Linked DNA regions of Diceros bicornis minor. The protein of the gene in region 1 interacts with the protein of each later gene in a biochemical or structural test. Links are inferred from orthologs where the notes say so. Each region holds a gene or a part of one and is shown on either strand. Other genes may lie near its edges.

Region 1 (12,016 bases):
AAGACATTATTATACTATTTAGTGGAAAATGCAAGCAAGCGGCATTATTCGTTCTTCAATTAGTTAGGATAGCATGCTAACCCAGCCAAGGACAGTGACTGGATCCTTGAACAGTGTTCACAGCAGAACACTGTTCACAGCCACAGGCTGTACCTCATCCCTTATGTACAAAGACGTACATGATCACAAAATAAAGTCACCTTTATCCCGGAAGGACTACAGAGCAGGGAATATATCAGTTGAAGTTACTGAGTTATCAGTTGAGATCTAAATTAAAGCCTCGTTACGGTTTCTAAAAATGTTATTAGAATTTTCATAACCACTCTGTATTAGAATCAGTAAACTTTTCATATTTTGATAATAATTTGGAGGGCGTATTTTAGCATGAAAGGGACTCTGCAAGAAATAATCTGGTTACAAAGACACAGTTTCTCATATAAACATGTCTCATCATTCAAGTGAAACATAAAGAGGCTAGTTAAACAAAAAGAAACAAACACAGAGACAAACGTCCTGACAATTTCATTGTTCTTTATGAGACAGATTAATGAATATGCATGCAAAGTCCAAAGAAAATGTAAAACGTTTTTCCCTAGGAGGCTCTCAACTTGGCCAACATACAACCAAGAAAAGTGACAGCGCAGGAATCCAAACTAGTTTCTTTAACTTAGCAGCCTAATAAAGTCAGCAGTATTTGTTACATGTCCCCTAACATACAGAAAGAGCCATACTGTATATGACACTCAAAATCTCAAACCATTCTAGATACATAAATTATTTTCAATTCTGAAGTTAAATTTCATGCCGGTCTACTTCTTCTATAGACTTAACCATTTTCTTTTCAGTAGATTTGATAACAATACTTTTAGAATCATATTGAGGCAGTAAAAGATCATTTTCCAACAACATTCCAATGAGAATTGCTTCAAAAATACTGATCTTTTCTCAAACATCAAACCTGAAGCTGGGCACTTTATACTGTCTTCCCTAACCTCTGGAACAATGACAGTCACTAGCCAAAACTACAAGTACACAGTTAATGGCAAGTTTTAAGGTTCTGAGTAGTATGTGTGAAGGAAGAGGAAAAATCAGAGGAATGGGAAACTAAACTTCAAAATTTAAGGATAAAAAAGTTGGCCTATACGAGAAATGATAGAAAAATAGGAAAACATGATTGGAAAAAGCTGTTTGCATGCAAGAAATGCAAACTCATTCTTAACCTGTTCACCTAAAATAATTCTTATTCTTATCACGTATTTCTTTTCAAGTAAAATGGAGCCTTGGATTTTAACAGCTTGTTATCCTAGCTCTTCTGACAGTGTCTTTGTTAACTCTTGGCATACCTTCATAACGCAGTCCTACCTTCCTCATTCAGACTTTGTTTTTTGTTGTTGTTGGTGTTGTTTACTGCTGTATTCTCAGTCCTAAAAAAGCGCCCAGCACATAAATTATCAAATGAATAACAACCCTTTGAGGGAGGAATCATTATCATCCTGGTTTTACAGATGAGGAAACTAAGGCTTAGCAAGGTTGAGTAACTTGCCTAGGGGTTACAAACCACCAGCCAGAAACAAACTCACGTCTGTCTAACCACAAAGCCCTCATTTGTCTACCCTCACTAGGCAGAATAACTTCTTAATGTCTCTCACTTGTGTCTCTTAAATGGCGACAGCTTTCTCAGGGGAAGGCTCAATTCAAGCTTCAACTTCTCCATCAACCTGTTCCTGGGCATCCTCAACCTCTGAACTCCACTACAGTCTTTACAGATCTCTCCTTCCTTTGTGCTGAGCCCTCTCCAGAGTTCTATAACAACAGTGCTTTTAGCCCTTTGCTGTACTTATTTCTTATCTCTCTCTTACATCAACTCCAAACTTCCTGAAGGCAGGAATGAGGAATCTTCAAAGGCCTCTGGCACATGGTAGAGTTGAATAAATGTCTGATGTATGAATGAATAATCTCCACAAATCCACAAGATAAAAAGGAACCCTTTAGCTCAATTCCCTAAACACAGGCAACCAGAGACTACAGCTTTCCTTTGCTTGGGGGTGGCAAGGGCATGCCTGAAATTCCCTGCCCACACCACGAAAGAGCATCGGTGTGCTATGTTAAGGCAGTTTTTCAACTTTTGAGACATCCAATGGAAAGACAATAGAGTTCCAAAACTTTAAGGGCTAAGCATAAAATCTGTCTTTGTAAAAGTGATCTACCTGGATGAGATACCAGCTCTCGATTTTAAATAATGTTTGACTGGTTCTATGAAATCACTGTTTTCAATGATTCTGCATATTTTAAGTAATTTTATTTTTATATCCCTTGGCTTAAAAGTGCAATTTCATACTTCGCCACACATGTAAGGACAAAAACTGCTTGTCTCTTACAAAATGGGAAAATAAAGTAGAAGCTGTGTTAGGTAAAAAGGCATTCAATAAATATGTTATTATGCTGCCATTTGTAAACTCCTTCTAAAGGCACATGTGGCCTATTTTAGACTAATGAATACTGGGAAGCATTTGATAGATGATTTTCATTTACTTGGTATGAATACCATGTTCAAATTATATCTAAACAAAAACTGGTTTTAAAAAAAATATGGTGTAAAGAGTTGAAATGTCTGACCATCACCACTGAGTACTACACAAATAGTACTACATTCAATATTCCGACTCTAGGAATTTATAACCAAATGCTTAGCTAGACCAATTTCAAGGTACATGTTTTTGTTTTTTTGTGTGTGTGTGTGTGAGGAAGATCAGCCCTGAGCTAACATCCATGCTAATCCTCCTCTTTTTGCTAAGGAAGACCAGCCCTGAGCTAACATCTATTGCCAATCCTCCTCCTTTTTTTTTTTTTGCCCCAAAGCCCCAGTAGATAGTTGTATGTCATAGTTGTACATCCTTCTAGTTGCTGTATGTGCGGCGCGGCCTCAGCACGGCGGGAGAAGCAGTGCGTCAGTGCGTGCCCGGGATCCAAACCCCTGGCCGCCAGCAGCGGAGCGCGTGCACTTAACTGGAGCGCGTGCACTTAACCGGAGCGCGTGCACTTAACCCCTAAGCCACGGGGCCCGCCCCTCAAGGTACACGTTTACGGTAACAATTTTTTTACACATGCACCACCCAAGCCACAATCTATAATTTTACTTTTATTAACACTAATTTCTGAGCAGTGTCTAGCCCAACCTATAAGTGAGATATAAATAAGATTTATAAATAGAATACTATAAAGGTGGGACACTGGAATTTCACAATTGGAGCACATTAAATCACTTACTTGCAAACTAATATTTTTCCAAATATTTACAAGCAGATTTGGAAAAAAGTGAAAATCACTTTGCCAAGCTGGACTTCTGGCCTCTCAGTTTGATAACTGGTTCCTTCCTACCCCTACTCCCCACCCCTTCCCTTCTGTTCTTCCTCTGCTAGGAATACTCTCCTGACTCATCTCTGTCTGTCTATGTCCATCACTTCCTTGGAGACCTGGCTCAAGATTCAGCTCCTTGAAAAAGTCCTCCCTGACTAATCCTGATTTCCACTAACTACATCCTAACTTTGCATTCCCTTGGCATTTATATACAGTTTACACTATATAATCAATAACTTGTAAGACATTTTGCATTTTTCTATCATTTCTCCAACTAGAGACACATCACCTTTTATATTCTCTTCTATACAGCCAGCAATAAATGCTTCTTGAGCGACTGAATCAACAGCAAAAGAAAGCCGATGGCTCAAAAATTTCTGAAGCAAGCAACTGGCTTTTCAGATCACACTTACAATACTTTATCACCTCCAACATGCATAAGTCCTTCAACGAGATGAGATTTAATTTTGTCTTAGTTCCATAAATTCATCATAAAAGATCCAGGTTATAGATCACATATATACTTAAGGTAAACAATCCTGGATATTCAAATATATCTTGAGATTTAACATTTCAAGCTTCTAAAAAGCTTAAAGCCTTGAAGCAGCAGGCCTGTGAATGGTAGGAAGTTGGCACTAGCCTCTTGCAAAAGAGGCAAAACTCTAGTTGGCAGTAAATGTTCAAACACGTGAGCCTCCACTGTTAAACAAGGCTCATTAACCACACAAACTTGCTGTTTCAGCTTTCTGGCTTCAATGAAGTGCTATGATCTCCTTTGGTTATTGTTGAGAGCCAATGATGGGTTAAATTCCCACACATTAACCAGCGTTTTGGTGGTTTGCCCAAGAATACCTCTGGCATCGGTGGGGCTGATTTTTCTTTTTTTTTTAACAGAGCTGCCCGCCCCGGGGAGCCAGAGGTGAGTGATGAAAATGCCGACCCGGCATTTCTCAGGAGGCAAACGGAGACCTCCAGAACTCGAGCCGTTCGGTCTCCCTCTAGTTCTTAGTGTCAGCTTATCGTGCAGAGGCGGGCTTCAGGCGCGCCTGCTTTTTACTAAATCGCAACCGAGTCTTCCTTAGGGACTGCAAGCCACACTTCGGCGGCTGCCCAACTTTTCCCGCAGGGAGCATCAGTTTTTCCATCCTCAAAGCCCCTGCACATCGGGTCTGGGGAGAGCCGGGCCACCAGCAGAGGGGAAGGCGAGGACTCGGAAAGGGGGAGCGGGCTCGCTCCCCAAAAGGGGCAGACACAAAGTGAGCAACGGCCAGCCCTGCGCCGCCCGCCCGCAGGCCGCCCGCCGGCCCCGCTCACCCTCCAGCAGCACCTCCTTGCCCGCGCGCTTCAGCGCCTGCACGGCCTGGTCGTGGGTGGCCTGGCGCAGGTCGGTGCCGTTCACCGACAGGATGGCGTCACCCAGCCGCAGCGCTCGGCTCTGGTCGGCCGCCAGCCCCGGGAAGATCTTGGAGATGAGGATCGGCATCCGGTTCTCGCGGCCGCCCTTGATGCTGATGCCCAGGCCGCCCGCCTCCTGCTTCACCACCCGCACCCGGCGCACAGGAGGGGACGCGCCTGCCTCGCCCGCCGGGCCTCGGGGCGGCGCGGGCGGGCTCGGGGGACCCAGGCCGCGGCTCGGGCTCCCGGGCAGCGAGTCTCCGGCGCCGCCGCCGTTCGGGAGGCCGTTGAAGGCGGCCGCCGCCGGCCCCAAAGTGGGCTCGGGCTCAGCCGCCGCGGCGTCGCCCGTCAGGCTTAGGCTCTCCCCGCTCAGCTCGGCCACCACCCGGACCCAGCGCTCCCTCAGGAGCAGCTCCACCAGCCCCGCTTTCGTGGCCCGCGTCCACACCGCCATGGCCGGCCCCGCTCCCGCCGCCGCAGTCGTCGTAGCTACCCTCATTCCAGTCAGGCAGCCTAGGCGCTTCCCTCTTCCCGCTCGAGGGGGCGGGCCGGCCCCCTCCCCCCGGCGGTGATTCATTATTCATGAGCCACGCCCACCTCCGGAGGGGAGGGGCGAGGCCGGCCGAGCCGCTTCCGGGAGCTTAAGTAGCTGCCCGCAGTCCAGTCCCTTGCGGCTCACCGGACGTGGGCAGCCCGAGCGCAGTGATGCTTAGTCTCGCGTTCTCCTTCCTTTCGCCTCCAACAACCACCCCCCCGCCCCCGCAAACTCCTGACCTCTACCGTGCAATTCACCGGAGCTGCCTGGGCACGGAAGGCAACATCAGCTTCAAGAAGCACTTTGCAAGCCTGCAAGACTGGGTTGCACGTTCACTCTTGCATTGATTGGTTCATTCCGTCTTTATTGAGTGCTTCGCCGTGTGCTCCTTTTGAGGCCTGGAGATGAGCTGAATAAAACGTACCACAGCTGAGAGCTGGCGGTCTAGTGGGGGAGGAAAACGGAGAACCAATCAACCTAGTGTGATACTATGTGGTTAAGTGACATCTAGACAACGCTCTGAGAGCAGAGTAGAAGAAACATTTGGTTGGGCCCGAGGTCAGCTGCACAGAGGTGACAATGGAAGGTGAATAGGTGGAGCAGAGGGAACTGCATAAGCAAAGGTCCAGAGGCATGAATCAAAGCATTTGTCACTCTGCTTTGTAATCACCTGTTTTCCTACCTGCAATGTGTGAGGGCACCATGTCTTCTTCAGCCCTGCAGCCACAATAGGTTGGCCGCAAAGATATTTGCAGAATGATGATTACTTAGGAAGATGCCAGAATTCCAACGTGAACAGAGCATCGGGTCCCTGGAGATGGCAGGATATGAGTGTGAAAAGCCTCATATAATCAAATGTTGGAGTGTTTGGACTTGAATTTGTAGATCTGACTTTCTTACTCTGGAGGCCACGGCCCTTTGTTGGGGTAAGTGTAGATGAGCATCCCCAGAAACTGTATGCACACTGCAGAGCCTGCAGTGGCTTTTATCCTAAGACATGGGTGATGCAATCCACCCACTTCTTCCAGCTTCCTGGGCTGGAAGAGCAGAGGAAACTGAGGCCTGGAGAGCCCAAGACTCGAGCTCCAAGCCCACAGTGAGGCAGCAGAGACAACTGTCTGGTCTCCCACCTCCTGGTCCACTGCTTTTCTTGACTACATTCCTCAGACCTCAAAAATGAGGGTCCAGAAATCACACTGCTGAGAGAGATCTTAGCAAAAACATGAGTTCAAGGTGCCGTCTAACTTTCCTTCAGCAATAAAATCGAAATCCTCACGTTTTCATTTGGTGCAAGCAGAAGGAATGTGCACCAATTTCTGTAAAAGGGGCTGCATACCTGCTTGCTCATGAAGTACATGTTGAAGCTCGTAAGCCATGTCCACGCACCACTCTATGAATGCACATGCATGTATGGGCAGAAACTTCCAAACAGCCTCCTATACCAGGAGTTAAAACCATAAAAATAGAGACTGGAAAGCAACCAGAGCCCAAATGAAGGAAGAATTCAAAATAAGAAAAGTATCTTACCAAAAAAATCATTACAGCAGAATCTTCTTTGCAATTAATGGAGCAGGATTTTCCGAGCTGCAAATGTCAGCAGCTCAACCCTCTAGCCCTCTCCTAAATCAATTGCAGTGAGGCCAGCTAGCTGTTTTGGCAGGTCCCAATGTGCCCCAGCGCACCTGCAGTCACAGACACTTCTGGCTTTTCTCCAGCTGAGGCATGAGCCCCCAGAGGCCTGAGTTATGTGAAATTTCTGCTTATTAGAGAGCACTTGGCAGCTGATCCCTTAGAGTATGAGCACTATTTTCAACACTTTTATATACATATTCACAAAGGGTTGGGCACTTGAGGACACCTTTATTAGCAAAAGGGAAGCTGGAAACTCCTTCCAAGAGTATGAAGACCTTTTGGTCAAGAGAGTTGGAGGAAGTCATAGATCTTCCAACTAAATGGTAAGTGAGGGTGCTTATATATAAGATAGTAAGTTATATAACATAATATTTAAACCTGGGAGGAGAGAAAGTAATGGAGATTGATATTTGGATTACTTGCGGGTTTCTACGTAAAAAATTATTTTTAAATATATCCATAAAACATTCCCAAATTATTGAGCTGCTTTTACAAGGTCCTCCATCAGAACCTAAATTAATTTTCAACATTCTCTTTCATCACTACTTTCTGATCGGCCAAACTCATCCAGTCAGTGTCTCTCAATGACGCCTTGCACATTCCTGAGTCCTTCCTTCCAAACACCTCCTGCCGCTTTCTACCACTTTCCCACCTAGCAAGATCTCAGCCCAGTTTTCCCCAACGACCCAATTTTTCCTTTGAACAATTTTCTTCTACGCTTGGCTGTTTTGCCCCAGTAGATTATAAAATACAGGAAGGCAGGGACCACCCATCGACTTCTTTTTATTCCCCACTATTCCAAAAATACTGCCTTGCAGAAAAGGAACTCATTAAACATGTGATTGATTGAAATTCAGTGCCTCCTGTGCTGTAGTCGTTTCAAATAATCCTTCTGAAGGTTACTGGTTCCTTGCAGAGTGAAAATTACCATCTAGGAAATCTCAAGTAGTCAGTGGAAATCTACTTACTGTGGATAATGAAATCTGAAATAAAAAGAGTACACATCTGTGTCCACGGTTTCTTAGGGACAGCAAGACAAGCTTAGATAATTCTTTGAACAGGCATGTTATTTTATCTACCTTTAAAAAAGGAAATGGCTGAGATAATTCCTCATAACCCTTCATTCCTGTCACCTATCAATACGTATTCTCCTGTGCTCAAGCTGTTATCTTACGATTTCTCAGAACAAGGCAGGGATCACTGCTACTTTAAAATGAGGGGGTTGGATTAGCTCTCTCAGTTCCATAATTTCCTACAATTCTATGACTCAGGCTCTGATTCTATGCTCTCTCAAAAACCAGTGGTCTTTTCTTTTTCTTCTCCCTCACAGTGGATGTACAATATAGCACAGTAATTAAGAGCACAAGGTTCAAATTGTAGTTTGGCCACTTACTAGGTATATACGATAACGGTCAAAAGGTTGAGGTCACAGGCCTGTTTCTTCTTCAGAAAAATTCAGCTACCTTCTACCTCTAAGGGCAGTTGCGAGGGTTGACTGGGATGACATATGCAAAGCGTTTAGCAGCACTGTACCTGTACAGGGTAAGAGGTCCATAAAAAGTACCTGCTGCTGGTATATTACCTGTTGACCTTCAGCAGCAGCAACAATAAAACCTTTGGTAGAAACTCTGCAGCTGAGAGTCTAGACTTTATCTAGGAATGAGTCTGCCATAGTATCATATGATTCCAGGCTTAAATGGCAAATGGCCAAATTAATTTCGGTGACAAACAGATCTTGTATAAAGCTACACTTCAGCTGAAAGGGAGAACATATTGCCAAGAGTCCGTCAAAGCAAAGAATTAGTGGATCTGGGGCTGGTTCCAAGGTTTGAGTGTTGTGTACACAATTTCATAAGGAAGGAGGGCCCCAGGCAAAATTGCAGCCCTTAGCAAGCCTGAAGGTCACTACCACAGAGGCGGCCTGACGCCAGAGGAACAAAAGCAAGAACTGCTCAATTACTACTAAAGAAGAGGCCAAAGGGAGAAAGAAGCTTGTAAGATAACCAATCCAACACCTAACTTTGCAAAATTATCCACACACAACTCTTCCTCAGTTAGAAGACAGTGAGATCAATTGTCCCTTTCAACAGACAGTACTCCTTTGCCTTCCGGGAGAAATAACCTAAAAGGTATTTTTCTCTCCCGCACAAACATGAAGTGAAAGAGGGAAAGGTGCATATATCCTTTAGCTGATGTAAGCACATTTAAAAATTCATCCTGCCAAGATAAATCATCATCCATCTGAAAACCACAAAAATGGATTAACTATCTCATACGTTATGACTATGAAAACCCACATCTGCTAACCACATTCCTAATGAGAAGCAGCTGGTGACAGTTTTGTAGCTCTGTGACTTTCTTTTTAGGAAAATATTAGCAAGGACATAATAAGCAGAAGGTTAGTTTCATTGAATCCACTTAGTTATGGAAAATCACCAGTGTTTTTTATTGACAATCATGGACATTACATAATTTGCCACGAAATTCAAGTAAGGTCCAAAAATAAAAATCCCCTTTCCCCCAATACCAGTTCTAACAGAATTTCCAGTGCCTCAGAATTAAGACTTACAGTCCTAATAGTCAGCTTCAACTCTCATTTTTCATATACCATTGAACACCAAATCATGTCTATCGATGCAGATGGTATTTCTAGGCCTTTGTCCCACAGCTTTAACTGCCTCCCAAGTCAGTTAATGCAACAGCCAGTTGTGGGGTGTGGGGATCACGGACCCCTTTAGGAGTCAGTTGCATGTTGTGGACACACCTTAGACAAATGCACACCTGTGCAAAATTCAGCATTCACACTTGGGGGCTCACAAAGCCCCTGAAGCCCTTCTATGGACTCTGTCATGGGCTGAATCGTGTCCCCTCAAAATTTATAGGTTGAAGTCCTAATCCCCAGTACTTCAGAATGTGATTATATTTGGAGACAGGGTCTTGTTTTTTTTGAGGAAGATCAGCTCTAAGCTAACATCCATGCCAATCCTCCTCTTTTTGCTGAGGCAGACCGGCCCTGAGCTAACATCTATTGCCAATCCTCCTCCTTTTTTTCCCTTTTACTCCCCAAAGCCCCAGTAGACGGTTGTATGTCATAGATGCACATCTTTCTAGTTGCTGTATGTGGGACGCTGCCTCAGCATGGCCGGACAAGCAGTGCGTCGGTGCGCGCCTGGGATCTGAATCCGGGCCGCCAGTAGCGGAGCACGCGCACTTAACTGCTAAGCCAGGGGGCCGGCCCCATGGAGATAGGGTCTTTAAAGAGGTAATTAAGTTTAATGAGGTCATTAGGGTGAGCCCTAATCCAATATGACTATTGTTCTTATAAGACACACGTGAAGACACCAGAAGACCACCATCTACAAGCCAAGGAGAGAGGCCTTAGAAGAAACCAACGCTGCCGATAGCTTGATCTCAGACCTCTAGCCTCCAGAATTGGAGAAAATAAATTTCTGTCGTTTAAGCCACCCAGTCTATGATACTGTTAGGGCAGCCCTAGCAAACTAATACATATAGACCCCAAGTCAAAAACCTACACAACAGCCTGTTTTTTGTTCCCCTAACTTCCAGTCTCTTCTGCCCCTTACTTACACAAATGGGCATTTTTACTGTGCCATTCCTTTGAATCTGAATGGTTCACAATTATGTTTTCCACTCAACAAAAATTCTTAACCATAGACTTCAAGGCCCACTCCAAGCTGGTCTTATTTCTCACTACAGGTTGGCTTAAGAGGTCTGTATCCAAATCTACTTCTCTTTTCCATACTTTTCTAAACTGCTTAGCTTTCCTCTGTGGAAAACTCTCTCACCTTTTTTATAAACCTCACCTGGTTCTTAGTTACTATCAACTAGGGAAGTTGTCACCCTCAAGGGGCAAGCTTTCCTGAAGGAGACGCGGATGCTCTCAGCACTGTGGCAAGCCCTGCCTGCCCTTTCAGCCTCATTTTCCCCTACTTCCAATATATGCTGTTTCAACCACATGGAACTACTGGCAGTCCCTTGGACAGGCTATGTTCTCTCTTGCTTCAGGCCTTTGCACTGAGAATGCTCCTGGAATGCCTCTTTTCTTCTCCCTTCCATGTTGCTAATTACTACTCAGTTCTAAGAGTTATTAGTTCAAGGACCATCTCCTACCTTTAACCTTATTTCCTAACCCTACTGGTTAGGTGCCCCTTCTCTGTGCTCATCTCTAATGTTGATCTACTTTTTTCCCCAACTAGGCTGTGAAGTTCTTGAGGTCTGAGATCATCTTTCATCTGTTGTTGGTGCACAGCATATAGTAGGCACTCAACAAATGTATGTTGAGTATTAAGTTCTGTAACTTCCTAAAGACAAAGGACTGACACAAAGCTAAGCCTTTAGATCTGTGCTGTCCAATAAGAAAGCCACTAGCCACATGTGGCTATTTATATTAAATAAAATATTCAGTTCCTTTGTCACACCAGTCATACTTCAATTGCTCAACAGCCACCTGTGGCTAGTAATATCTTATTGTACAGCACAGATACAGAACTTTTCCATCACCAGAGACAGTTTATTGGACAGTGTTGATCTACATCATAAAATAACTTGAAATATGAAAGAAAAAAACACCGTAGGAAAAAAAGAGAAGAGGGCCTTAATATGCAATTTACACAATTAGCCAAACAGCCAAAACAAATGAAAAAGTGAGCAATGTCATTAGTAAATAGGGAAATGCAAAATAAAATGAGATACTATCTTTCACCCATTAGAGGGGCTAAAACTAAAGTCTATCACTACATTGGCAAGGTGAAAGGAAACAAGCATCTTCCAACACTGCTGATGGAAATACAGCCACTCCAAAGGGAAACTAAAAGTGAAAGAAAATGGGCACAATATGAGCTAGCAATCCCACTCCTAGGAATTAACCCTAAAGAAACACCCCCACGTGCGTACTAGCAGACAATCTACTAGGTTGTTCATTACAACACTCTACATGATTTACACACCACTGCCCACAGAACACAATACTCGAGCTAAATCAAGTGCTCATCCACAGCAAGAAATGCTTAAACACCTTCCCTGCAGCCTGTGAAATGGAAAATCCTTTTGTATACCATGCCTGCTAATATGTATGAT
Region 2 (11,905 bases), on another chromosome or scaffold:
CATCATCACCATCACCATCAACATCAACATCATCATCATCATCATCATCTCATCCCGAGGCAGATCTCCTGTTCGACCCTTTCCCCTCATGAGACTGCTTTCAGGAAAAGTCAGTCACCTATTCTAAAGGAATAATCTGCCACTCTCCACCCCCATTCCTTCTTCCTTGCTTCTGGATTAATAGTCTATATTGCTCTTAACTCATATTCTCGGATCCACTAGCATTCATACCTGCCTTCTTGCCTATTAACATTAGATGAACTATCTGTGTTCCTATTTAAGGCCGATTCCTCCACTTGAGCATTAGATTTCATCTTCTATTACCTACTCAAGAACATCTTCCCCACAATTCTGCCTTACTTCCTACATCATCATTTCTTCCTGTTCTCTACTAAATTATTCCCAAATATGATGCAATTTCCTCCATCTTAAAAAAATACTGCTTGACCCCACATTCCCCTCCAGCTATCACCCCATGTTTTTGTTTTCTTTGCAGCAAGACTCCTGGAAAATATTATCTATACTGGCTGTATACAATTCCTTTCCTCCCATTCCCTCCTAATCCACTCTATTCGGGATTTTATTCCCAACTATTCTACTGAAATTGCTTTCACCAAGATCACCAGTGACTTCTGCATATCTAAATCCAGTGGTCAATTCTCAGATCTCATCTTACTTAACCTACCATCATCATTCAACACTGTTGGTCACTCCTTCCTCCGTGACACACTTTCACTTCATTTCAAGGACGCCAAACACTCTTGTTTTGCCTCCTACCTCACTGGCTGTTGTTGGTTCCTCTCCTTCTCCTTGTCCTCTTAATATTAGACTTCTCTAGGGCTCTTCTTCATATTCATTCAATTCTTTGGTTATCTCATCCACCTCATTAGTTTGATTACCATCTACTTGCCAAGGAATTCCACATTTATGTCTCCACTCCAGACCTCTCTCTCTTTCAAAATCCAATCTCATATACTCAACTTCCTACACTACTTGAATGGATATCTTAAACTCAGTATATTCAAAACTAAACACCCCCTCTCCCAAGTTGGTCCTTCTGCATAGTTAATGACATCTCCATCAACTCAGTCGTTCAGGCAATAAAACCTGGGTGTCATACTTGACTCCTCTCTTTCTTTCACAGCCATATCCAATATTTCATGACATCGTGCTCACTACCTTAAAAATACATGTAGAATTATGTCATTCCTCACTACCTTCCTGCAACCACTCTGGTCCATGCCACATTCATCTCTTACATGAGTTATTGTGGTAGCTTTTAATGGTCTCCCTGCTTCTACTTTTGACTCCCTATAGTCTATTCCTAACACAGCAGCAAGCATGATCTTTTTAAAGTAGAAGTGAGATCATGCACCCCTATGCTCAAAACCTCGTGATAGTTTCCTCTTTTACTCAGAGTAAAGCCAATGTCCGTACATTCTCCTACAAGGCCCTACAATGATCTGCATCCCTTCCCCCATCACCTACCTAACTGCATCTTCTACTATTCCTCTCCATCCCTTATCTACAGCGACACTGAAGAGGTGTTCTCCATGGTGTGCCTCAAACTCGTGCTCCTGCTTTAGGGCTTTTGTTCTAGCTTTTTGGTCAGTTTGAAACACAGCCCCCAGATAACCTTCTGGAAAACACTCCCACCTCCTTGATATCTTCGTTCAAATTTTATAGTCTCAATAAGGTCTATCATTTTGACCACTTGATTTAATACTGCAGCTTCCTACCTCACCATTTCTGATCCCTTTATCCTGCTGTAATATCTGGTTTTTCCATGGCACTTATCACCTTCTAACATACTATATATTTTCTAATGTATATAGTGTATTCCCTCCCCTCACCCCCTAAATGTAAGCCCCAGTAGGCAGAGATCTTTCTCTATTTTATTCCCTGATACATCCCAAGCTCCTAAAACTAAGCTTGCCACATGGTAAGTACTCAATAACTACTTATTGAATGAGTGAATTGGACGAGTGAGGTGTGCTCCTGGCTGAGGACTCCAGGATTCATGGCTCTGGAGCACTTGGACAGTTCAGGGAGTGGGCTGATTCTAAGGAGATGAAAGCTGGCCTCTTCCAGTGGCTTCTTCTAGAAGCCTCCTCTAGATTCCTACAGAGAGTCTAAGTGTGAAGAGCCCATCTCTAGGATTCCACCTCTACTCCTTTCTTGCCCTCCTCTGCAGCAAAGTCTGGGAACGTGAGGCTTCAGAGTGGGTGTGATAAGAATGTTTCATGAACAGAAAGCCTTGAGTCAGGTGGCTCCTCACTTCCCCACCCTTATCTAACCGATCCCAATGTCTCTCCTCCAATGCACATAGACCTCACCTTGGGACATGAGCTGTCGAAGCACACCTTGTAAGCGCTGAAGAACTGGGGAGGTGACTTGCAAAAGGGGCCGGGCCTGCCCCACTCCCACCTGGCACTGTCCAAACAAGCCATCTAAGAGCACAAAAGTCGTGTCAGCAAGGGGCTTGGACAAGAGGCCTTCCAAAGTCCGGGTTGAAAATAGGCAGCACTCTCTCCATCTCCTCTCCTGGCTTCAAGGAGCTCTGCTCCTCTAGGCCAGTCCCCCATCTCCCCAAGGCCAGTACCCCTTCTCCCTTCCAGGCTTCCCCCACACTTCTTTCTCATTGTGTCCCCCGGTCTTGTAAATCCTGTGCCTGGGCCTCACTCACCCTGAATGCAGACTTCCAGGTGAGAGCAGAGTCTGCGGTCAAACAGACAGCCTGTAGAGGGACAGGTGAACAGACGCTCAGACAGCCACACACATAGAACGGTCAGATGGATGGACAGGCTGGGAAACAGGGAAGCAGATGGGGTCCATTCTTTCATTCTAAGGAAGGCTTTAAGCTGGGAGGAGAGTAGGGAAGAGGCCTAGAGTTCTTAAGAAAAGGAAGCACAGGATCTGGTTTTGGATTTCAAGGATCTGCGACTCTGGATCCTTTCTCTAAAAGCCTCACTTTGCTTAACCGAGTGGTGGAGAGAAGAAGCCTCCCAGGTGCATGGGGGTGGTGATGGTGAAGGATCATATACTTCTACTCTCATAGAATTACTATGGCGGAGTTTTGGGCCAAATTCTGAGGGAAAAGGGGATTTCTTTCCCAAATCTCCAAAAGCATCCTAACTATGATGGCCTGGGACTCAGAAGAGATGGCAACCCTAGCACACCTCCCCTCCGTGTGGGAAAGGGTAAAGGTGGGTGTCTCTAAGGCAATGCTCCCCACACGGTCCCTACTATCCGCGGCCCCATTGCCGCTGGCGCTGTCCGCGGTGCTGAAGCGCTGAGCCTGGCGCCGCCGAGAGCTCGCCTGGAAGCAGTTATGGGGGAGGGAGGGGTGACAGGGCAAGGAGTCTCCACAAGATCTGACCCCTCCGCCGTTCCAGACTTCATCTTCCACGTTACCAACCCACAGCGCCACAGGAAGTATCCTGCCTTGGCCTCCAAGCCCGGTGGGGAAGAAGGGCGCCAGACGGAGAGGCTGCGCCCCTTCCCCCACGCGCCCCCCGCCCCCACTCTCCCCCAACCCATGAGTCAGCGCTGACTGTCTCTGTCCGCTCAGATGTGAGTCAGCGCAGGGCCTGACTGTGGGGAGGGGGACGGGAGAGGACCCTTCCCTCTTCACCCTCTTCTGCCCCCTCCCCCTTATGTCCCCCTCTGGTTGGAAATCAGATAGCAGCCATTGGCCTCTCTAGGCTTAAAGACAAACCCGGCCCCTCCCTCGGCCTGATCCTCTTCTGGGAGCTGGGACCCTGATGCTCGAGCCACGGTCTCCTACTGCTAGATCAGGGTTCCCTCTCCCTCCTTCCCCCCCGCCTCCATCCTTCAGTTCCAGTCACCACTTCTCTGGCGCCCCGGTGCGACTTGCTTCTCCCCTGGTCTTGCAACCCCTCTCTAAGTCCCTCTGGCCATATGCACCCCCATTCCTCCTCCCAAACCAGCAATCTTCCCCTGAGCCCGCTTCTCTTAGGTCCCGCCCTCGTATTCCCAGCCCCACCTCCAGGCCTACGCCCCTTTCCTCTCAGACGCCCTCTCATCTTCCTCGTCTCACAGTGCCTCCCCTTACCCCACTCCACACATATTCTACCTGAGCTTCCTACCGTCTTGACACTGCCCCCCACCTGCCACTGAGTTTTGCTCCCGGCACCATCCCCCTACCCCCCATTTCCTCCTGACCGTGGGCACTAATGGCGCTGCAGCCTCCCGGGCGGCTGCTCAGCAGCAGGAGGCAGAGGAGCACCCGGAGACCCCCGGATGCCCCGGGACCCCCAGGCCGCCGCGGGCGCCGCATCCTTCCAGGCTCCGCGCGCCGGCTCAGCTGCCAGAGCCGCAGCGACGCTGGCCGGAGCTTGCCAGAGGGGCCAAGGCGGAGCCTGCCACTCCCCACCCACCTACGAGGCGGGGTCTATACGCCCCTCTCGCGGCAACTTGGCTAACCCAGGGCGGGTGGTGACGACATCTCCACCCCCGGCTCTTACGCTTATTTGCGTCATGCGTGACGTAAAAGCACCGTCTTAGCGGGGGACCTACCCACCCCTTCCCTCCTCCTCCAAATAGTAAGCGCCTCACTAGAATTCGCGCTTGGCCCCGTTTCTTTCGACATACGCTTCTCCGCAAGGACTACCACCTCTATCACTCAGTCCCAGGGTTGGCGAAAAGGGTTCAACTGGGTGGGGGCCGGGAAAAGGACGTGAGTGGGCTAGTATAAACCCTAAGATGAGGAGCCAGAATAGGTACTCTTGCGCATCTCAATTAATGGTACCGGCGTCATCCTTAAGAGCAGGAATGGTTGTGCGTGTGTGCCTGGATTCCAGTTCTAGCAATGCCACCTCCTGGAGGTGCTACTTTGGGCAAGTTGCTTAACCTCACTGCGTCCAAGTGTCCTCATCTGTAAAAGAGAGGTGTTAATAGTACCTCCCTCTCAAGGTGGTTGTGAAGGTTCCATGAGTTAAACTCATGTGGATCACTTAGGACTTTGACTGCACAGGCATAGATGAAACACTTGCTACATACTCGCTTTTGTTATTAGCCTCGACTCTCCTTTCTGTCGCCCTCTCCCACCAAGAGCCTATCAACAATCTTATCGTTTCTGTCTGCAAAATATACCTCCCATCAGTGTACTTCTCTCCATACTCGCTTCCCTGTCTAAGCCACTGTGCTCGTTCATCGCGAATATTGCGGTAATCATCTGACTAGTCTTTTGCTTCCACTCTTGTCACTCCATAAGCTCGTGAGTGAGCTTTCTCAAGTTCAAATTTGATCAATTTATTTTCTTGCTTTTCAGTAAAATTTTTCCAAAATACAAAAAAAGATACCAGTGCAGAGTAAATACTCATACACTCATCATCTAGACTTGACAGTTGTTGATATTTTGCCATATTTGCTTCTTTTTAATATTTAAAAGTAAATGATAGACATGTTTCCCTTATTAATATTTCAATATGTATCTCCAAGAAATAAAGACATTTCCCCGTGTAACCAAAATGCCATTATAACATCTACCAACGTTTACAATAATTCTCTAGTATCATTTAATGCTCAGTTCATATTCAAATTTCTCAAATTATTTCCCCAAATTGCCTTTTTTAGCTGTTTTGTTCAAAATAGGAGTCAATCAAAGACCACCATTGCATTTGGTTATGTTTCTTAATTCTCTTTAAATCAGCATAGACACGGTTCCTCCCCGCTCCTCTCCCATTTTTCACATTGTCTTGTTGAAGAGACCAGGTCAATTTTTCTTTACATCTCCTCACCCTCTGGATTTGCCTGATTGTTTCATCATGATATATATTCCTGCATTTTCCCTGTATGTATCCTGTACATCCCCTGTATTTCCTGTAAACTAGAAGTTCTATCTAGAGTCTTGATTGGATCAGGTTAAAAAAAATTTTAAAGCACAATTCTTTATAGTTGATGCTGTATGCTTCCAATTGTGTCATTTCCGAAAATGCATAATGTCTGGCTGTCCTACTATTAGTGACACTAAAATTGATCACTGGTTTAAGGTAAAGGCAGCCAGAGTGCTGTAGGTAAGGTTATGTTTTCCTCTTGTGACCAGTCTGTAATCTATGGGATGATATTTTGGCATTGTGAGAATATCTAGTTCCCGTCAACTTTTCACCTAGTAGTTTTGCCATTCATTGATGATCCTTGCCTAAATTATTTCATTAGAGGTTACAAAGTGGTGATTTTTCTAATTTTATTTTTCCTTTAACATTTATTAGTTGATATTACTTTGTAAAGAAGAGCTTTCTGTCATCAGTTGGGCTTAGTTATCCAAGAAATACAATTCCAACTGGAAAGGTAACATACATTCTTAATTTTTTCTGTTTAGTTACCAATTTGCCAAGTAATGAGTTGGTATAATAGTTACCTCCTACAGTGGCAAATAAATTTTTAAAAGTATTTTTATGATTTTTTGATTGAACATTACTATGGAAGTATGGATTTTTATATATTCAATGTGTATCAATCAATCCCAGTAATTATCCTTTTTGATGCTCAAATTGTCGCAGAGTAAATCAGTGAAAACTCCTTTAAATGGGATCTGGTGTCTTTTTGAAACATCCCATTAGTCACTGACAGCTTCCTTGCTTTCTATCACTCCAAGATGTTCCAGGTTTATCTTTTTTATTCCCTGCCCTAGACATGGAAGCAGCCGCTCTTCCAAAGAGACTTGATATCTTTTAGTAAGGACTGATTTTAAAGACTGCAATCTGAGTTTCAGGGGTGATAGTGGCTACTGAGATGATGCTGCTTCTAGGCCCTTTCAGTGCACAGAGCTAGGATATTAAGATACACACACACACACACACACACACTGATATTGTCAATTAAAATTTAACTGTGATTTTTACTGAACTCTTGATTTTATGCTTGTATCTATTCTTTCACGCAAAAATTTGGTTTCTAATGACATTAATATGATCACTTATATGTTTTGTTTTGTTTTTGTGAGGAATAATAGCCCTGAGCTAACACCTGTTGCCAATCCTTCTCTTTTTTTGCTGAGGTAGAGTGGCCCTGGGCTAACATCCGTGCCCATCTTCCTCCACTTTATGTGGCAGCCCTACCACAGCGTGGCTTGATGAGCGGCATGTAGGTTCACGCCTGGGATCTGAACCCGAGAATCCCGGGCCGCCAGAAGCGTGAACCCTGGGCCGCCAGAAGCAGAGCACGTGAACTTAACAACTATGCTGCCAGGCCGGCCCCCAATCACTTATGTGTTTAATCCTACAATATGCATACAATAATTTACAAATAATAACCTTACTCTACTAATAAAACAATGAATATGTTTAAAACTTTTGGTAGTTTATTTTGTCCTTAGAACCTAAGGATGCATGCTTAGGTTATAAAACTGTGAAAAAAAGCAAAGAAACACAGATTTTGGATTATCCCCAATCTTGGGTTATTGTGAATAGTGTGACTATATATACTCTTGTACATGATTCCTGTTGCACATGTGTGTTGGGGGAAGCAGACAGGCAGTAACAACCTCACAGGGAGGAAGCTGACGAAATAAATACCCTCTCCTCACTCTCCTCATTCCCTCCCTCTGATCTCCTTCTAGGTATTCCCATTGTCCTAACCTAACCAGAATCCAGAGGAAGAGGGAGCTCATTGAAGTAGTCCATACAGGTCAGCCCCTTGGGACAGAAAACAAGGTGAAGAGAGATGGAGAATGGATCCTAGGGGCAAACTTGAGGTATCTGCTCACTTGATCCCCTTCTCCCACTTTTTTGTTGTTGTGGGAGAAATTGTCTGTCAGCATAATTGTTACTCTTTTGTAGGTCACCTGTCTATGTCAACAGTTTTACTAGGTTGTGACTAGGGAGGGATTTCTTTTAATTTATTCTCTTTGAGATTCAAAGAGCTTCTTGAATATGTGGCTTGATGTCTTTCATCAGTTTTGAGGCATCCTCAGGTATTATTTCTTTAAACATTGATTCTGTCCCATTTTATTGCTCCTTTATTTGTGGCACTTCAAGTAGATATATGTTAGAGTTTCTTGTGGTATCTTCTATGGTTCTACCTTATCTTTTGTATTTTCCATTTTTTGTCTCTTTATACTTCATTCTGGATATTTTATTTTGAACTATATTCCAGTCAGTAATTTTCCCTTCAGCTGTGTACAATCTGATGTCTTGAACTTGGCTAGAACCAGAGGGCACACTCAATCAGAGTAAATAAGAAGAGTTTAATGAAGGAACTATTTATAAAGGTATGGACAGGTAAAAGAATATAGACTTTTGTCAACTCACAGATGGTCAGGGAGGGCGCCAGAGGAATACACACCTTGACCTCTCTCCTTTTTTGCCCTTTGATCTCTTGCCAATAGCTACTGTTGGCCAAATTCAACCAGGAGTCAGTGAGCAAGGACCTCTGGTTGATGCAGTCCAATGACATCAACCTGGGAACATAGAGCAGGGTGAAGAATGATGGAGCGTAAATATGGATGGGAAAATGGGGACTATCTAGCTTAATCCTAGCTTCCACTCTTGTCATTCGTTTGGATGAAAACCTTGTACCCTTATGACAAGCGACGCACACATCCCTTAATTCAGACATGCTCTCATATGAAACCTAAAACATTGTCCAAAGCCAGTGCTCCCATTATAAAGTGCAGGGAAAAGAAATGGGAGAAAAAAAGAAACTTTCATGCCAAGTTACTTTAAACACAGCTGCTACAATCCCTGCTTCTGTAGCTGGTCCTGAGACCTAAGTTGATAATTGCAACTTCCTTATTCTCCCACTCATTTCATGGTCTTCTTACCTTGGTCAGCATCTTGACTGCATGAGATTTTTGAGCCAGTGGGTTGAGCCAAATCTTTATTTCTGCCAGATCAGAGTCTTTGATGTTCCCAGCTTTATTTGGTTTCTGTAGTTTTCTATTGAATAGGTACTATTGCAAAAGAGAATACAAAGAACCCAAGTTCATCCCTTTGGTTCAGTTATAGCATTTCTTTGCCCTCATTTTATAGCAGCAACTCAACTTACCCCTGGTAATTGGAATCAATCACTGTGGCTAATATAGCGACACCCATATCTGTCTATCGGTTCAGTGGCAGGAGGAGTCCAAAGTGATCAGGTGGTAGTCTCAACTTCCAGTTTAACGTAACTACGACTGCAGTGAAAGCCTTCCTCCCTTGGGCACTGGGATCTGAAAACTCATCATTTGGGAGATGGGAAGCAACCATTCCTTCAGAGATTTTGAAGTTTTTGAAGTATAATAGTGAGAGGGGCCATTCTCACCTTTACTCCTTGGTTCCAGAACCCTTAGGGGTGGATAAAGCATTCTGTAAGTTCACTAATGGTAAGTGAATGCTGCCAGAAGTGTTATAGACAGGAAAGGCAAATCCATATCCAGAATATAAATCACTGCCCCTTTTCATGGTGAAAGGAATTCAGAATAAAAGTCTGTCACGAAGTGCACCATATTGGAGGCTCCTTTGCTGTTGGCAAATTGGTATGCAGGGCTGGCTGTAACCATATCATTCTTGGGGAGAGAAATCCATGTTGTTAAGCCCATGTATAGCCTCACTCCAGGCCACCATATCCATTGGTACATGGGCCCGTTAAGAAAGCACCAGGGTGGCTGGGGAAAGAGGATGATTGACATCCACGTTATGGGTCATTTCATAACCTGATTATTGACAAGCTTCCCCATAGTCTGTGCCTTCTGATGGTCATTTATGTAGGAAATCACAACTATCTTCACACTCTGTGTCTATTCCAAGTGATCCATCCCAGACTTCCTTATCATAGATCTTTATGTCTTATTCTATTCAAATCCCAGGTCAGCCAACCAAAGTGTTAACCATAAACACTATATTAATATAGATCCGTATCTTGGTTCTCCTCTTCTTGAATTCCAGGTGGACAACTAGATCTACCAACAAAACTTCCCACAGAGATGATTTCTCTTCACCAATGTAATTCACAGACACTTCTGAGTTGGGCTGTAATATAGCAGCCTTCCACTCTGGCTGTTGCCTGCTTTTTGTGCAGACATCTGTAAATTAGCTCTGTGCCTTTTTCCCCCGTCTGTTAGCTGGTCATAGAGAATTCCCCATGAGGCCATAATAAGGTTGTGAGAGGGAATGAACTGGTAAGAGTCTGAGCTACTTGCTCATGCAACTTACTTGGTCCATCCGGATCTTCTTAGGTCCAGCCTCATATATACCATTTCCATTTAACAATGGAATGCCATGATGAACCTCCAGTTTTATGATTTGGCGGATCAGATAATACCCAGTTTGTAATTACTTGTTTTCCCATGGCCAAGTGTTCGGTATGCCAGTGCCTGGTAGAAAACTAGGAGCTGCTTTTCAAATGGAGAATAGCTGATGGCATAAGAGGGCACAGTGTTACTCTAAAATCCTAGGGGCCTACACTATAACAATCTAACAGAGGCTTGTCAAAGGATTCATATGACATCTCGGTCTGCCAGAGACACTTCCAGTGCTGCTGAGACCACTGGGTCATAATTATCAAGTGAAAGGGTTGCTTGCATTGCAACCGGGAACTGCTGCAGAAACTTTTCTTGCTTCAGGCTGTACTAGAAGCTTGATGGGTTACTGGTAAATGGTAGCTGGTCCTGAGGTGTACGTTGAATGTGCTACATTCTGAGTAGCACATTGAAATGTGTTGTTTGTATGTTGCCTCAAATACCAAAGAATCCCATTCTTGCACAAAGAATATGGTCTTTTTTTATTGTGGTAGATGTCCAAGGTGAAATAATTTGTCTCATTTCTGAGAGGTATGTATCCTGGAATTGAAAACACTGGGTCATATGGGTACATCTAGCTTCAGTAGGTTTAGTGGCTTTGAAATGTGTTAACTCAGCTAGGCTGAACTATGTTTCTTTTTTTTTTTTTTAATTTTTATTTATTTATTTTTTCCCCCCAAAGCCCCATAGATAGTTGTATGTCATAGTTGCACAGCCTTCTAGTTGCTGTATGTGGGACGCGACCTCAGCATGGCCGGAGAAGTGGTGCATCGGTGCGCGCCCGGGATCTGAACCCGGGCCGCCAGCAGCGGAGCGCGTGCACGTAACCGCTAAGCCACGGGGCCGGCCCTGAGCTATGTTTCTTAGGATTACTTTCCCTGGATGTTTCCGGTTAGAGTAGGCCACAAGAAAGATTTCTGCATGAGATTTGACAGGCAGAAGTGAAGCAACAGCCATTTTTGAATTTTACCATTGGAAGGTCAGGGAAGGCACTTTTGTAGCTCACACACATTGTCGCTTATCTGCTGGCTTACTACATTGGGGTGAGGCAGAACCTGGTCCTATAACTACTTTACCTTCTCCTGGACCCTCCTTTACTTCTCCGACTCCTGAGCCAGGTGTGACCAAGGGGGCCAGCTCCATTAATGCCTGTTTCCGGTGGTGAAGGGGATATTGGCAGTCCATGACATGCAGTGGTAAAATAATTCCTCAAATTATTACCTGTGGATACCTATAATCAAGTGCCTATAGAAGGCAAGTCTCTGCATGACCAAGAGTTTATTGCCATAGAGAATTTTAGGGAAACAAGGAGTGTAATAGAGTTTGTTGGTTGTTTCTACTTGCACTGGAGACTTGTGGGAAAAAAAACGATGAGCTCAGGGCTCAAATTTCCAGCTCAAATTTGGTATAAGGAACCCAAATGTTTCTATCTAAATTTGCTGTGAAAGGAATCAGCTCTCTGTGACCTCAGCTCTCTGATATGCTCAAGAAAACTTATGATTCTGTAGTCAAACCAGCTGTTTTGTTGTTGTTAGAATGAGAATGTTGCTTTTTTGAGCTTCCTACATCCTAGGCAGAAGTAGAACTCCATTTTGAAGGATAATTTTGCTAGTTATTGATTTCTAGATTGACGGTTATTTTCTTTCAACACATTTAGGATATCAT

Evidence for each region.
Region 2: the proteins of SNTB2 (region 1) and PTPRN form a complex in vitro, tested with the Homo sapiens proteins (2 studies listed by BioGRID and IntAct). The link is inferred for Diceros bicornis minor from reciprocal best matches to the Homo sapiens genes SNTB2 and PTPRN.

The regions. Positions count from the first base shown.
Region 1 is NC_080771.1:20,698,000-20,710,015, reverse strand, and holds the start of SNTB2 (beta-2-syntrophin), read right to left. Parts: upstream 5,286-12,016; 5' UTR 5,252-5,285; coding exon 4,672-5,251; intron 1-4,671. UniProt on the Homo sapiens protein: Adapter protein that binds to and probably organizes the subcellular localization of a variety of membrane proteins. May link various receptors to the actin cytoskeleton and the dystrophin glycoprotein complex.
Region 2 is NC_080776.1:9,601,461-9,613,365, forward strand, and holds the start of PTPRN (receptor-type tyrosine-protein phosphatase-like N), read right to left. Parts: upstream 4,310-11,905; 5' UTR 4,301-4,309; coding exon 4,186-4,300; intron 2,915-4,185; exon of another isoform or gene 2,844-2,914; coding exon of another isoform or gene 2,738-2,843; coding exon 2,687-2,737; intron 2,451-2,686; coding exon 2,337-2,450; intron 1-2,336. UniProt on the Homo sapiens protein: Plays a role in vesicle-mediated secretory processes. Required for normal accumulation of secretory vesicles in hippocampus, pituitary and pancreatic islets.